Linked DNA regions of Drosophila melanogaster. The protein of the gene in region 2 interacts with the protein of the main gene of each other region in a pairwise test. Each region holds a gene or a part of one and is shown on either strand. Other genes may lie near its edges.

Region 1 (7,375 bases), 5.9 Mb from region 2:
GCGTGCACACTGTAAACAATAACATTAGTGTAGAAGTGTTCTCGTTTGCGTATTTGAATACTCTTAATCTTGGGGTCTTACCAATGGCCACATGTTGCTCCCAGTTGCATACAACTACGAAATTCTGGGGTGAAGCCCGCGCCCAAAATCAGCAATACGCGCGGCCCTTTATTATAAGTTCTATTTTGTTACCAACTTCCGTACCTTTCCACATCGAATACTAAAATCTTTCAGGTTAGAAATTGCGTTAGATAAATGCGCAGATGTTTATAATCTACGATCTGATTGGCATTCGCAGACTAGTTTCTAGCTCTAATCATGTCGGATGTGGACTCGGATGGCGAGGAGCCAACCCGGAAAACGGGCACCAATGCACTGGATGAGTTCCGGGAGAACTGGCAGCGGGAGCTGCAGGAACACACAACAAACACTGGATCCAGGAGCCATTCCGAGGCTGGAGATCGCCTCACGGCGGCCAATTCCAATCTCAGCGAGGCTGATCTACTGCAGGCCAAGGCGGAGAGTCTCTATCGGACCGCTGTGCAGCTGGAGCAGCGTGGCAAGGTCTACGACGCACTACCCTTCTACAGGAAGGCCACCCAAATCGTTCCGGATATTGAGTTCAGGTTCTACGAGCAGCAGAAGCAAAAGCTCAGCAACGATGTCAGCAAGAAGTACCTCAATCTGGCTAACGATTTGGCCAAGCAATTGGATCTAGGTCAGTCGGATGGGGAGGAGGTCGTGGACAACCTGTACGAAAAGTTCCAGCATGATTTGCGTCAGAAAAACATTTACAATGGCAAGATGATAGCATCCAGCCGTGATGCCAATGTCCTGACCACCGGTCTGCACTTTGCCGACCTGCCGCCCGAGATTGTGATGCGCATCCTGCGCTGGGTGGTTTCCGCCCAACTGGACATGCGCTCGCTAGAGCAGTGCGCTGCTGTTTGCAAAGGTTTCTATGTCTACGCGCGGGATGAGGAGCTCTGGAGGCTAGCTTGTGTCAAGTAAGTTACTCTTTCAAATAACGCCTAAGATTCAATGAACCTATCGTAATTTTCTGTATAGAGTATGGGGCCACAACGTTGGAACTCTAGAGGCCCAGGATTCGGATGTAAGCAACGTGTTCCACTCCTGGCGAGACATGTTCATCCGCCGAGACCGAGTTCTTTTCAACGGCTGCTACATCAGCAAGACTACGTACCTGAGAATGGGCGAGAACAGCTTCCAGGATCAGTTCTACCGTCCTGTGCAACTGGTGGAGTACTATCGCTACATTCGCTTTCTGCCCGATGGCAAGGTGCTGATGATGACGACTGCCGATGAGCCGGCGCAAGGTGTATCCAAACTGAAGCACGTGAACAACGTACGGGCGGAAATGCTTCGGGGTCGCTATCGTCTCTTCGGGAGCACAGTCACTCTGGTGCTGCAAAAGTCGCAGCAGCGAGGGCCGGCTAACGTGCGGCAGAGGCGAGGGAGTATCATGCCAGTGGATGAGGACTCCTCACAGTTCCTGATCGAGCTGCGCATCGCAGGCACCACCAAGCGCCGATGCGCCCAGTTGGTTTGGTCACATTACACGCTCGTGCAGAAGCGCAACAAGGTGGACATCAGCTCCGAGTTCGATTTGACCGAGGCCAAATATCCGGCGCTGAGGTTCTCAACCGTAAAGAGCTACCATCTTGATGCTGATGCACCATTGGCTTAGGTTAATTAGAATTAGAATGGATTTCTGCAAGTTGGAAATAAAACAATATGTTTTGAAACCCTTTTAGAGGGGGAGTGGAAATAACGAGATATTATTAGCAACTATCCATTTTTGGAGTGTCTAAAAGCTTACAACGTTCTTAACAACTAGAGCATAAAATCTTCCTAGGACAATCGAGAAGCTTAGCTTTATCTCTGCAGTTTGCGTTTAAAATTCGTTGCACCAGTCTGCAATCGTAGCGGCTACAGCGAATGACTCTAATGGCTTTGGGAAATGGCCGTGTACGGCACCTTAAGTTTCAGACTGAACCACAATATGTTCGTAGCGCATCAGGTCGGGTGTGTCCCAGCAGCTCTTGAGGCAGGTGAAGACCAGCACGTTGCCAAACTCGATTGGTGCATTGCAACCGTTCACCTGGAACCGCAGCTTGGGAATCAGTGTGGGCAGCAGCTGCACCTCGCAGATGGTCTCTCCCCTGCAATTCTGGCACTTGGGCAGAGGTTCCGTGAACGGGGCCACCAACAGCGGGATCGTATCCCGCGAATATCTGAAGCAGAACAACTTGGGTAAGAGGAAAGTTAATGAGGATAGAAGTACAATGTTTACCTCAACAGCTGGCCCGGATTCTGATGGATGGTAGTGATAAAGTTGTGAAACACCAAATCGCCATGGGCTGGCAATGCCTTCTCGTAGGACTCGTTCTCATCGCCCTGCTCTCCTGGTCCAGATGCACCGCCGGTCGGTGACTGACCCGGATTCTGGTCTCTCAGCTTGTACTCCTGATACAAATCACGAATGTGGTCCATGGACAAAGCGCCTCCGAAGTTTTCGTACTCCTCCGCCTGGGTCTTGTTCTCTACATCGACGGCAATATAGTAAGACTTTAGCGTTAGGTCCTTGATCTGCGACAGCGCACCCGAGGTGTGCTTCAACAAGGCAATCAGGTCGCGTTCCGGCTTCTTGGGCGTGTCGACCAGCACCAGATCCGTTTCGGGACCCTCGATCTCAGCACCAATGGCCGCTGAGGCGGCACTGGCTCCAGCTCCATCCAAACTGGGAGCGGCGGCCGCTGCACAATTAGCATTTGGATCATCGTCGGCGTTTTGCGGCGAGATCATGTCCATTTGATGAAAGCCAGAGATCAATTCGTTCTCCAGCGAAGTGCTCTCGTCCTCGTCGTCGTCATCATCGGCGGCAATCTTTACCTGCTCAAGTTTGGCTGGTTCATCTATTTGGATGTCTGACTTGGCGTACTGCAGGGCATTCGGTCGCACATTGCCATTCCGTTCGTTCTGGTCGTCGTCCGCGGTGATGTCCATAGCCTCGTCCAATGCCACGGAGATGGTCTTGGCCTGTTCGGTTGCTCCACCACTGCTGTCGCCCCAGTCGTCCGCTCCACTACACCAGCTGATAGCCTGCAATCCGCTCGACTTCCCCTTTTTTTTGGAGTTCTGCTTCTTAGTTGGCGTTGCCTTCGGCGAATGCTCACTGATCACCTCGTACTGGTGGTCCAGGTGCTGAGTGCGCACACAACACCAGCTCTTTGAATTCTGAGAGCAAACTGGGTTCATGCATCCAAAAACGTAAAGGCTGCGATGGAATTGGGAGCGATCCAGCGGGGCGTACATCTGCACGATCAGTGGACGCACTGCACCGCACAGCGGGCATGACGGAATGGTCACCTCGTGTCTGGGCCAATCCTGTGGGTAAAAATCAATTTCAATTATCCGCTGCCTCTATTGAAGTCGATGCAATCGCCTATCTTACGGGTGTGCCACCGATTTTGTTTGTGCAACTGTTCAGGAGCTGCTCCTGCTTGGCCGTAACCTCCTCATCCTCGTATCCTAGGTACACAGTCGACTTATTCTTGGCCATTTTTCATGGTTTCATTCAAGTCTTTCAAAATTGAATGATTTCTTTTAGGAATGGGCGAAATGAGTGCTCATGGGCAGACAACCGATAGTTGCACATGGTACTATCGATTTTAAAAGATATCGACTCATCGTAATCGAGTGTGCGAATTTCAAAGTATGAAATCTAGGCAGTTCAAAAATATATCAAATAGTTGAAAAATGAAATAAAAGCACAAAATTCTATTATTAATGAGTAGCACACAAGTAAGATCCATAACAACTATTATTTTCTTAAAATTCGTTATATATTTCTTATAATACTCCAAATTTGTGGTTTACTATCTTATATTTGCACAATCGCCGCTTAAAATAAATAAACGCACATATACAATACACACATATAAAAACATAGACAACTAGATTACAATTACGTTTTTTGGAATGCCAACATTAAAATACGTATATTTAGCAACAATAGCGCGCAACAACACTTATCAGTTATTGTCTAGGAAGACGACGCAGTCGCACGGATTTAAAGCATTCCGAGGAATTTAACAAACACGGACAAATGGCCCTAGCCCTAGAGTTCTAACAAGAACCTGCATCTAATACTCTAGATCCTCTGAGTCCCACAACGGAATTACTTCTCCAACGCCTCCTGCTCGCGGTGCTGCCGCTTGAAGCCCCACTCTACGAAGACGAAGGCAATGGTGCCAATGGTTCCCATAACCACCAGGATGCCCAGCTGCACGTACAGCCCGAAGTGCGAGGAGTAGAAGAAGCTAATGGCCGCCGCCACCGACTGGGTGAACTTGAACAGGGCAAAGGCTCCCACGGCATTGTTCACATACTCCCCGCCAAGCATGGAGTAGATCTGAGTGTTGAAACAGGCATCGCCCAGGCCCAAAAGGAAGGCACACACCAAGGCGATGCTGGCTCGGGGCGGGTCCAGATAGGATATATCGGTGGTATCTTTAAACGGTGCACTGTTCGGCAGGTTGATGAACGTCATGAAGAAGGCTGCCATGTGCATCACATAGCCGGCAATCACGATGGGATCGCGTCCATATCTCGTCGTCTTGTTGCCCAGTATGCCGAATAGTCCTCCTCCAAAGACCTCGCCGGCTCCAATGCAAATGCCCACCAGTCCAACGATCTCCTTCGGTGTTTCGGCTATTTTCGTGGTGAATCCAATCGCTGATCCAAAAACTCCGCTAAAGAATGACAGCTCCAGGCCTAGAAAGTTATGTTTAAGCACTTAGTATCTCTGATTCTATTCAGTTTTGACCACAATCCAACCCACCTGTGTAAAAGAAGGCCAGACTAAGGAGCAGCATCTTTTTGGTGAGGAACAATTGTCCTGCGGACTTCAATGCGTATATGGCCTGTCCACAGCCCGTGTGCTTCTGTTCCAGCTCGTTGTCGTGCTCGGCATTATCGGCCATGAATCTCAGTGCGGCCAGAAACACGATGCCCAGCACAGCAATTACCGTGAGCACGCCGATGACCAGATTCCGTGTCTCCTTGTCGATGCGGGTCTTGTCCTGGAACTGATAGTACACGAACAGATTCCCAATGAACATGCTGCACTGCAGCAGGGCCCAGAAGACGCCAGAGTTACGGGAAATCGTGGAAGATTCACTGCAGCGCGCCAGATACGTTCCCTGTCCCGTCCAAGTGATCGAGGCACCCAATCCCAGCACTGCGCTGCCCACGTACAGCAATACCGTCGACGGGAACATGAACGTGATCATGAAGGCTCTGCAAAAGAGTTTCAAATGTTTTAGGTACCAAAATGTATGAGTCGGACCGGTGGGGGGGTATATACTCACGTATAGGTCAGTGCTCCCACGACCATGGCCACTCGTGGTCCGGTGAACGAAATGAACGAGGGTGCCAGCCAATTGGAGAGCGAGAAGAACAGGTAGATAATGGCCAGGCTGGTGTAGCCCTCACCCTTGAAGGTATCATCTTCCTGGGAAATGCTATCCAGTATGGTTTTCTACAGATTGAGAGAACGTATTGAAAGTTGAAGCGATTAGCATTTTGGTAACGTGCCAGACACATTTTTTGACGATTGCATGCCAATGAACCGACGGCCGACGCATTTGTTTAATGTTTCTCTTTAAATGTTATACGATAAACGTGTTCTCGGCTCAAGTACGCATAATACAGGTATTTCCTGTCCGGATACGTTATGAAGGCACAATCTCCTTAAAATAAAACCCCAACCAAAGCAGATTGAACTGACTTAAAACTAAGTTGGGCCTGAATTGTTATCTGTTCGGATTAAATATCAAGCATATTTATATTTATAGGTATATGTTCGGTTCATTATACATCCCAAGCCAATTTAGTTATGAAGTCTATCTTTAAGATCTTATGCTTATTAGACTTTCTGAAATTCAGTGATCAAAGAAAGTTTAAAATTGAAATTGTTTCCTATATTGAAAACATAATGATTCATATATCTCATACTCTTTGGAGCGTTGGAAAAACAACTGCAGCTATTGAACAAAAATTAATATGAATCGACTTGGATCTGCAACCAGATTCAGGGTTAACTTTACAATTCTTGTGAATGTCAATGGAAAATTCCAAGCTGCATTTGCAAAACATGTTTGCGTTCGAGTCTAAAAATTTTCCATTCCAAAGGACGCATCTCGGCAAATGTCGAGTGATATCGTTATCTGAGCGAAAAACTCTGATTCTGATTTCTATTTGCATCAATTAAGTGGCGCTGCAAATCTGGTCCGGTCCTCGTGCCCATTTTGAAGTTCAACTCGAGAGGTTGCACCCGCTGATAATGTTTTAGAAGTGCCCCATTGAAATATAGCCATTAATGAGCAAGTGAAAGTCAAGAACTTAAGTGTCTGCAGTCGAGAAGCGGAACTGATTTGCCAATGAAAACGTTTTGTGACCCTGGGAGTTCAGGAAGTGTTTAGTAAATCTTTCTATGGAAAGTGGTTAATCTATTTGGTTATTTCTAATGTATGAAAAAAAACTAATGTTTATGGCGCACTGTTGTAGGGTAGCATAAGCGATCGTTGTTGTTGATAAGAAATCTCGAGTTTCAAGTGCAGCTATTCCTTATCAATGAAAATTTGTTAATGATCTCCTCATTATCAAATCGACGGACATAAAACCGAGAATTGGGTCAAGTTTTGAGCAAACATGGCCCAAAAGAAAGTCGAAGTGCAATAAAGAAAGTACAATGCGTACGCGGAATTGCAGGAGAATGCGCTGAATAACTTATTAAGTCGATCGTCACATTGCTTTTTGCTATTTATTAGGCAAAAAAAAAAAAACTGGCACAACGACTCGAGAAAAACTCTAAAAATGTGAAACGAGTTTTGTTTGAAATTTCCTTGCACTGGGTATATCGATGTTTGCTTGACGCTTGCCCTAGTACCTAATTTCATTACATATTTAAACAAAATTGCAATATTAATGTGAGAATATTTTTTATTATTGTAATCTTTAGGTATGCGAAATATAAAATATATCCAGTCCATTTTTGCCTTTGTTCTATAGTGAACTTAGCTTTATAAAATAGTTTCTTTGATTTGCTTTGATTATATTGAATCTAGACCTGATTCCTTTACAGGTGATCCCTGCTCCGTTTCATCTTTTATCCACCGAATTCCATCGTATATATATCGTGTAAAATCTCTGGAAGAGTTTATCCTTTCATTTGGCAAACTTAATGTTGACGGCGCGGCAGTATTCCTCGATTTCTTCGAGTGTCTTGTTGCCGGTATCGTACGGACTAAAGTTAATCCCCTCATCAGCGGCATGCGTGAGGTCACTCAGT
Region 2 (7,188 bases):
ATCCAGATCAGCACGACACCACCGGCGAGCAGCGGCAACGGGAGCAGCAACAACGGTGCCGGAGGAGGCTCCTCGGGTAATCACGGCTACTGGAGCACCGACGAGATGGCTTCCACATTTCCCGGCCTACCGCCGCTGGACATCGATCCGCTGCCCAGCCTGTTCCCATTCTCGCCCTGCGGCGCTTCCTACAACTTTGCCGCCGGCAATCCGCACCAGGCCGCCTCACTCTCCTACACAGTGCATCCGCACCAGATGCTCATTTCGCCGAACTCCCACAATCATGGCCAGATGCACTCGCAGCACCAGCAGCACCAGCACCAGCAATCCCAAGTCCAGGCATCGCACGTAGGCAACTCTCTCCTCCAAAGCAGTGGTGGCAACAATATCGGCAGTAATGGTAGTGCCGGAGGAGTGGCCAACGCTGCCAGTTGCTACTATGAAACCAGTGCTGGAACGGCCGCACCACCTCCTCCTCCGGCGGCAGCCATGTATCCCAGCATGAGCGTGAACGTCAGCATGAACATGACCATGCACCATGGCTACGGTGCCGGTGATGCAGGCGGCGTGCCAATGCAGTGCTCCCAGATGAACTGGACGCCACCCAGTAACTCCACCTCGGCGGCAGCAGCAGCAGCGGCGGTAAATGTGCTATACCCACCGCTGCTGAGTCCCGGTCACTATCCTGCCTCGGCCACATATTCCTTTACAGCGGATTTTCGGGCACCGGCTCCCACGGGTCTGGGTGCCCTGCCACCGCTGACGGTGGGCGAAAAGGAGTCGCCATCGCCGCCGGCCAACTCCTCTTTGGCTGGCTACTATCCCACGGGGGTGGGCAATCAGGGATACACACCGCCCCACAAAAGTCCCACCAGCTATCAGGCAGCCGCCCTGGGCTTAAGTCTATCCGCCTTCGAGGACGAGGAGGATAGCAACGAGGATCTGGACGGCGATGAGGGCAGCAGTGGCGGCGAGATGAAACCCAATCTATGCCGGTTGTGCGGAAAGACATATGCCCGGCCCAGCACGCTCAAGACCCATCTGCGGACCCATTCCGGCGAAAGACCCTATCGATGCCCCGACTGCAACAAGAGCTTCTCGCAGGCAGCCAACCTGACGGCTCACGTACGCACACACACCGGCCAGAAGCCGTTCCGCTGCCCCATCTGCGACCGGAGATTCTCGCAGAGTTCCAGTGTCACCACGCACATGCGCACCCACTCCGGCGAGCGGCCGTACCGCTGCTCCTCGTGCAAGAAGTCCTTCTCGGACAGCAGCACCCTCACCAAGCACCTGCGAATCCACAGTGGCGAGAAGCCCTACCAGTGCAAGCTCTGCCTGCTCAGGTGAGTCCGGGATGGGGGATTTACTTACACCGTCCTTCCTCATTCCTAAACGAACGAAAATGGTTTTGCTTTTACTTTTACGTAAACCCTTAAAGCTTTAAAGATAGTTTAATAATTTCTATCGTTTCAATATAAAACTAACAACTTGAACAAAACTGAGACTGTTGCAAGCTTAAAAAAAAGGAAAACCAAAGATAATATGCATCATTCATTTTCATTCATGCATTTTCGTAAGATTTTCAACTTCAACTAAAGAACTGAAATTAAATGAAATAATAATTGTTTATTCAAATGTAATGCTAAAGATGAAAATTACCCCTTAAAAAAGGCTTAGGCCCCCAAAGAGCAGTCCTGGAACGTTATACATCGAGTTAATTGCTTTTTTGGTGTCCACAGATTTTCGCAGTCGGGGAACTTGAATCGGCACATGCGCGTCCACGGCAACAACAACAGCAGCAATGGCAGCAATGGGGCAACCGGAGTTGGTGGAGAGTCCTCCACCGGCAGCGGAGTTGGTGGTGGCAACAGCCTGCTCACATGACAAAAGCCAAGGAGTGCAGGAGGTTTCCAGCATTACCACCCCCCGCACACCCACCACATGCACCACCAGCACCACGCCCATCACCATCACCACGCCCACATGGGTAACTACGACTACGGGAACTACAGCATCGGCGATTATACTCCACCCGGAGCCACACAAAACTATTCAGGGTATTATTTCTGCGCACTCAACAAGGCGCCCAAGTTCGAACGATTCTACTAGGGACTAAAATCTGGAGGATCCCATCTGGATAAGAAACCTTAAAGGAGGACCACTCAGTGAATTATACGGGGATAGTCACTCTATCGCTGATAAATACAATAATGTATATGCCATACTCAACATTGCTGTAGAAAAATAATTTGGGTTCGTGTTAAATTGAAATCCTAATTGAACATAACGATGTAATAATACTCATAACCCAAATCCGCATCCAAATGCAGTTAAAAATGCTCAAACAATACAAATCTGAGGAATCGCGGAGAATCGAACAAAAGTAGGCCTAAGAGCTGCACTGTACATACTTATACATACTATATTTATTATATTCGCTTAGCCTAATATGCATTGAATCCAAGTTAGTTCATCCATTAAATAAGGTAGTTCAAAACACGCATAAATCTATTCCAAATTAGCCAACGAAATAGGATTTAAGACGGATATGAGTATGAATCATAAGACCAAACAACACAGCAGCACCCAAAACGAGAATATTTAAATTGGAATTGCCAAGGCATTAAACCCATAAACACCTGTATACGAATATAGAGTCCTAAGCTTAAACTAGACGTAGATGTAAGACAGGTGCTTTGATCTAAGCCAATTTTGGAGTATATAAAGAAAATAATAAATATACGAAAATTAAATACAGTAACTAATTGATTTCAACAATTGAAATATTATATAATTTAGGTAAGGAATTCAAAAGGCTTGACATTTAAACAATATTATCAACTAGGTAAACGGCTTCTGTGTCGCCTCCGCAGACCAGACGACTTCCATGCACATCGAAGGAGTTGATGGACTTGCGAACATTACTCAGCACTCCCTCCACATCGACCAGGGAGCGAACACGATCGCCAGACAACCAGGGGCTGTGTCCGTCTTTGTTATAGTCGCACCCGAGAACTTTGTTCTCTGACCACATCCACACCTCGCCACCTTCTGCGGCGGTGAACAGTTTGCTGGGATCCTTTTGATGGAAGCCTATCTCGTTGATGGGACTTTTGTGAGCGCTGAGATAGGAGGCGGGATAACTGAGGTTTCGCATATCCCAGACGGTTATGGAACCCTCTTCGCTGCCGCAAAGTAAAATATGTTGCTGCATCGGATGCTTGGCAAGGGACGAGACAAAGTTCGACTTGTCATCCTGGGAGGCCACCATAAAGGTGGTCTTCGGCTGCGCTTCAGTGGCCACTCGGGCGTCCAGCATTCGGATAACACCCATCCTATTGGCAGTCACCAGTTCCTGCTGGCTGATATAGCAAATGGAAAACAGCGCCATGCTGTCCGCCTCAATCTGTCGCTTCACCTGGCGCACATTTTCCACGGAGACGATGCTTACACACCCATCCTCGCCGGCGGTGGCGATATCCGTGCCGTAAACAGAAAGGTCGGTGCAAGGAGCGGGCTCCTGGCTACGTTGGAAGCAGTGCAGACGTCCCGATCGGGACGTACGTTGCATCTGATCCTCCTCCACGGCTCGATGGACGTTAAACACGCTGAGATGACCTTGTTTGGTATTAAAATAGACATTTATTTAGCTGAGTTCATGATTGCTGGAACTTGTAACTGACCATCGGCACAGCTCACAGCCAGCGTGTCCTTGTCGACGAACTCCATGGCGGTCACATCGTCCTCCATTCTCACCTTGTCCATGCAGCGAGGTATCTGGTCCACTTCCGAATCCGTGGCGGTGACATATTGGTTCGATTGTAGCCGCCAGAGGCGCACGAAGTTCTGGTCCATGTCCCAGCTTCCAGTAACGAACCGTTCGCTCTGCTGCAGTTCCTCCGGAAGCCAGCGCACTTGGGACACCTTCTCGGATATGTAGTGCGTGGAAACGTTTGCAATGGACATCTTTTCGTTGGATTTAGCAGAGGATTCGCGATGTAAACAAAATAATGCGGCTTTCGAGTTAAGTGTGACCAGAGCAAGAAGATCGCAACATATCTTAGCGGGAAACTTAATCTGGTATCTATAAATTGGGCAGGGCTGGAAACAAAAGCAGAAAAATTGTTATGTGGATCTATATTATGGTACTTAATGAGCTTATCTCAAAAACGATTGGTAATTCTATTATGAAATTTTCCTGAAATATCCTTTAAGGTGGTCAAGCTTGCACAGGCTCTGCGAGTGGAGATGTCCCCCAAAATGTGGGGCGCCAATTTTTCAATAGCATATTATATATACTTTCTTGAGTCCTATAAACTTATTTCGCACATAGATAGTTATATCTTTCTTTTCTTAAAAAAATTGCATTTTTAGTTTATCGAATTCACCTTGAAATAACAATAATATAAATAAATAAAAAACATTTCCTTGTTCCAAATTCTACCGTTCCTTCATAACTCATCAAGGCACTTATCGATTGTCACAGTATTTTTTCGTACTGTGGTGTTTATGTGCGCCTACCCCTCCATATTTTTGGCGGGAAATAATAGTAAACAAAGCATTTAAGAAAACGAACAAGCAACGCGGGTTATGGAAAAATATTTAACAAAAATGCCCATCAAATCAAAAGCAAATGAAGTTCCCAAGGAAGTAGGCTAATACACAATTTCGTGCAGGGATAAAAACTAACTTAAAAGTATTTGTAGGAGGCGGGCGTCAAAAAGGAGACTCCCAAAGTGGCAAGGAAAGCAACAAAAAAGGATACTCCAAAAGAGGTTTGCATTTGTTTATTATTTAGAATTTATTATTTAAAATACTGCTACTGCTTTTTTCAAAACTAAGAATCGGTTTCTGTAAATCGGAAGCAATAATGACTATGTATACTATTTCAACCGAATAAATCTTGCAGTTGAAAGATAAAGAAAATGCTGGAGATGATAATACGCCAAAGCAAACGAAAGGAAGACCCGGTAGACCGGCTGCCAAGCGAAAAAATCTGGATACTCCAGATGTGGTAAGCAACAATTTATATATTAAGTTTATATTGGGACGAAGCATTAACAACTTTATAGAAGACTGAGAAGTTAGCGATGGAGGAAGAAAATCCGCCCAAGCGCCGGAGTTCCAGGCTGACCAGAAGCACTCGTTCAATGGCAGAGGATGGGTCTCCATCACCGGAGAAGGAAAAGCCCGAAAAGCTTCCCTTTATTAAATACAAGGGTGCTATAAAGTATTTCACGGAGAGCCAGGATATTGCGGCATCTGCTGACGATGTTTTGTAAGTTAACTCTATAACTTATTCCTGCTTGTTAATAATGTGCATTAAAAATCAAAACTTAGGCAATGGGTGGAAAAACAAAAAGATGAGGTAGTGCCCATGGCCTTCGACATGGAGTGGCCCTTCTCTTTCCAAACAGGACCTGGCAAGTCTGCCGTCATCCAGATATGCGTGGATGAAAAGTGCTGCTACATATACCAGCTGACTAATGTGAAGAAACTGCCTGCGGCCCTGGTGGCCCTTATCAATCATCCCAAAGTGCGATTGCATGGCGTGAACATAAAGAAGTTAGTTATACAAAGGAAAAATCCATTTGGATAAATAAAATCTGTTATTTTCCAGCGATTTCCGAAAGCTGGCACGTGATTTCCCCGAGGTTACAGCCGAACCACTGATAGAGAAATGCGTGGACTTGGGTCTTTGGTGCAATGAGGTCTGTGAGACCGGCGGGCGCTGGAGCTTGGAGCGATTAACCAACTTTATAGCCAAGAAGGCCATGGACAAAAGCAAGAAGGTGCGCATGAGCAAGTGGCATGTCATTCCGCTGGACGAGAATCAACTAATGTACGCCGCCATCGATGTCTATGTAAGTTGATATTCACTTTTCCATACAATTTCGTTCAATCTTAGTTTTCTTTTCAGATTGGTCAGGTTATCTATCGTGAATTGGAACGCCGCGAGAAGGTCAAGATTAAAAATGAAGAAGAGTTCAAGGAAAAGAACGGAGATGCTGCCTTTAAAGCAATGAAAGCATTGGGAGAGACATTTCTGACCAAGATCAACGAGGTGACTCTGTAAGCTTTTCTTTGAAGTTTCAGATATGCCATCTAATTCCTTTTACCTGTTTAAATATTTTCGCCTTCTTTCATTTATTTTCGGGAGTTTTTCTTAGTTTAATTTGTTACCAACGTGCTGCAAAATAATTGTTAAATTTAATATTGCTATCCAATTCGATTATTGATTACGATAACATTTATAGAATTGTTTATACCTAAATGTACAAATTATAAACACATTTTGATGCATTGACTTTGATCGGAACGAAATTTTACTAGTACTATACATTTTTGCATGAATTCTAGTTGGTTTATAAATTCCCTTAAAATTATATTAAGATTATACAGCTTTTTACACTTTTCAACTTGCAATAAATTTTAATTTTGTAAATTCGCATAAACACTTTTAATTACTTAATGAACACAGTTGGAGCTGCCTGTGGAGGCGTCACTTGAATTGCGGTCGCCGTGTGCCGATGGCCTCCAGTTTCCGCTTGAGCAGATCGTTGTCCAGGTCGATCTGGCGCTGATTCTTCTTCCGGTTCACAGCTGCGCTGGACAGTCGTGGCGCTGGAGGTGTCTGTCGCTGTATGACATTGTTAAGGAAGAGGTTTAATATTGGACATAAGTTCTATATTATGTACTCACCTTCTCGGGCCCATTGATCTTTATGCTACTGGTGCTAGCCTTGATCGTCGCCGTGGGCTTCACAGTCATCATCTTGCGCAAAAGAATCTGATTCTGGCGCTCGATCTCGCGCACTTGGGGATTCGTAAAGCTAAAGCTTTTGCGCCCAAGGTTTTTATAGCTATGCAGATGTAATTATATGTAATAGAGTGTATAAGTATTATAAGTTACTTACTTAATCTTATCATTAGAGCAGCGGGAACGCGACACATTGATTTGATACTCGCAACCGTCGCTGTTGAAGGTGCTTGGAGTTCCGCTAACGGCTCGCCTGTTTAACTCCATTGGTTTGCGCTGTTGTGGATGCCTCATGAGTCCGTCGCCCTGGCCACATTCGTCTACGAGGTAGCCTTCGCCCAAGCCGAAGTTCGCTGCCAGGTCATGGGGCAACTCGTGACCCATATCCAGTTTCTGCTCGTGTTCAATTAAATCCGATTCCGAGGG

Evidence for each region. Proteins that work in one complex are often made in the same cells at the same time.
Region 1: the proteins of Nup43 (region 2) and trus interact in a two-hybrid assay, tested with the Drosophila melanogaster proteins (one large-scale study listed by BioGRID).

What each region holds. Positions count from the first base shown.
Region 1 is NT_033777.3:12,452,832-12,460,206, reverse strand, and holds trus (toys are us), read right to left. Parts: upstream 3,635-7,375; 5' UTR 3,584-3,634; coding exon 3,476-3,583; intron 3,409-3,475; coding exon 2,315-3,408; intron 2,256-2,314; coding exon 2,000-2,255; 3' UTR 1,763-1,999; downstream 1-1,762. Other genes in the region: CG5961 (uncharacterized protein), read left to right, coding at 319-1,007, 1,069-1,708; CG5509 (uncharacterized protein), read right to left, coding at 7,252-7,375; CG18549 (uncharacterized protein), read right to left, coding at 4,202-4,797, 4,865-5,322, 5,394-5,563.
Region 2 is NT_033777.3:18,363,501-18,370,688, reverse strand, and holds Nup43 (nucleoporin 43kD), read right to left. Parts: upstream 4,052-7,188; 5' UTR 3,970-4,051; coding exon 3,687-3,969; intron 3,622-3,686; coding exon 2,828-3,621; 3' UTR 2,776-2,827; downstream 1-2,775. Other genes in the region: gl (glass), read left to right, coding at 1-1,346, 1,743-1,887; WRNexo (WRN exonuclease), read left to right, coding at 4,594-4,653, 4,710-4,778, 4,913-5,017, 5,076-5,281, 5,344-5,568, 5,624-5,867, 5,924-6,079; hmw (hemingway), read right to left, coding at 6,506-6,643, 6,706-6,865, 6,920-7,188.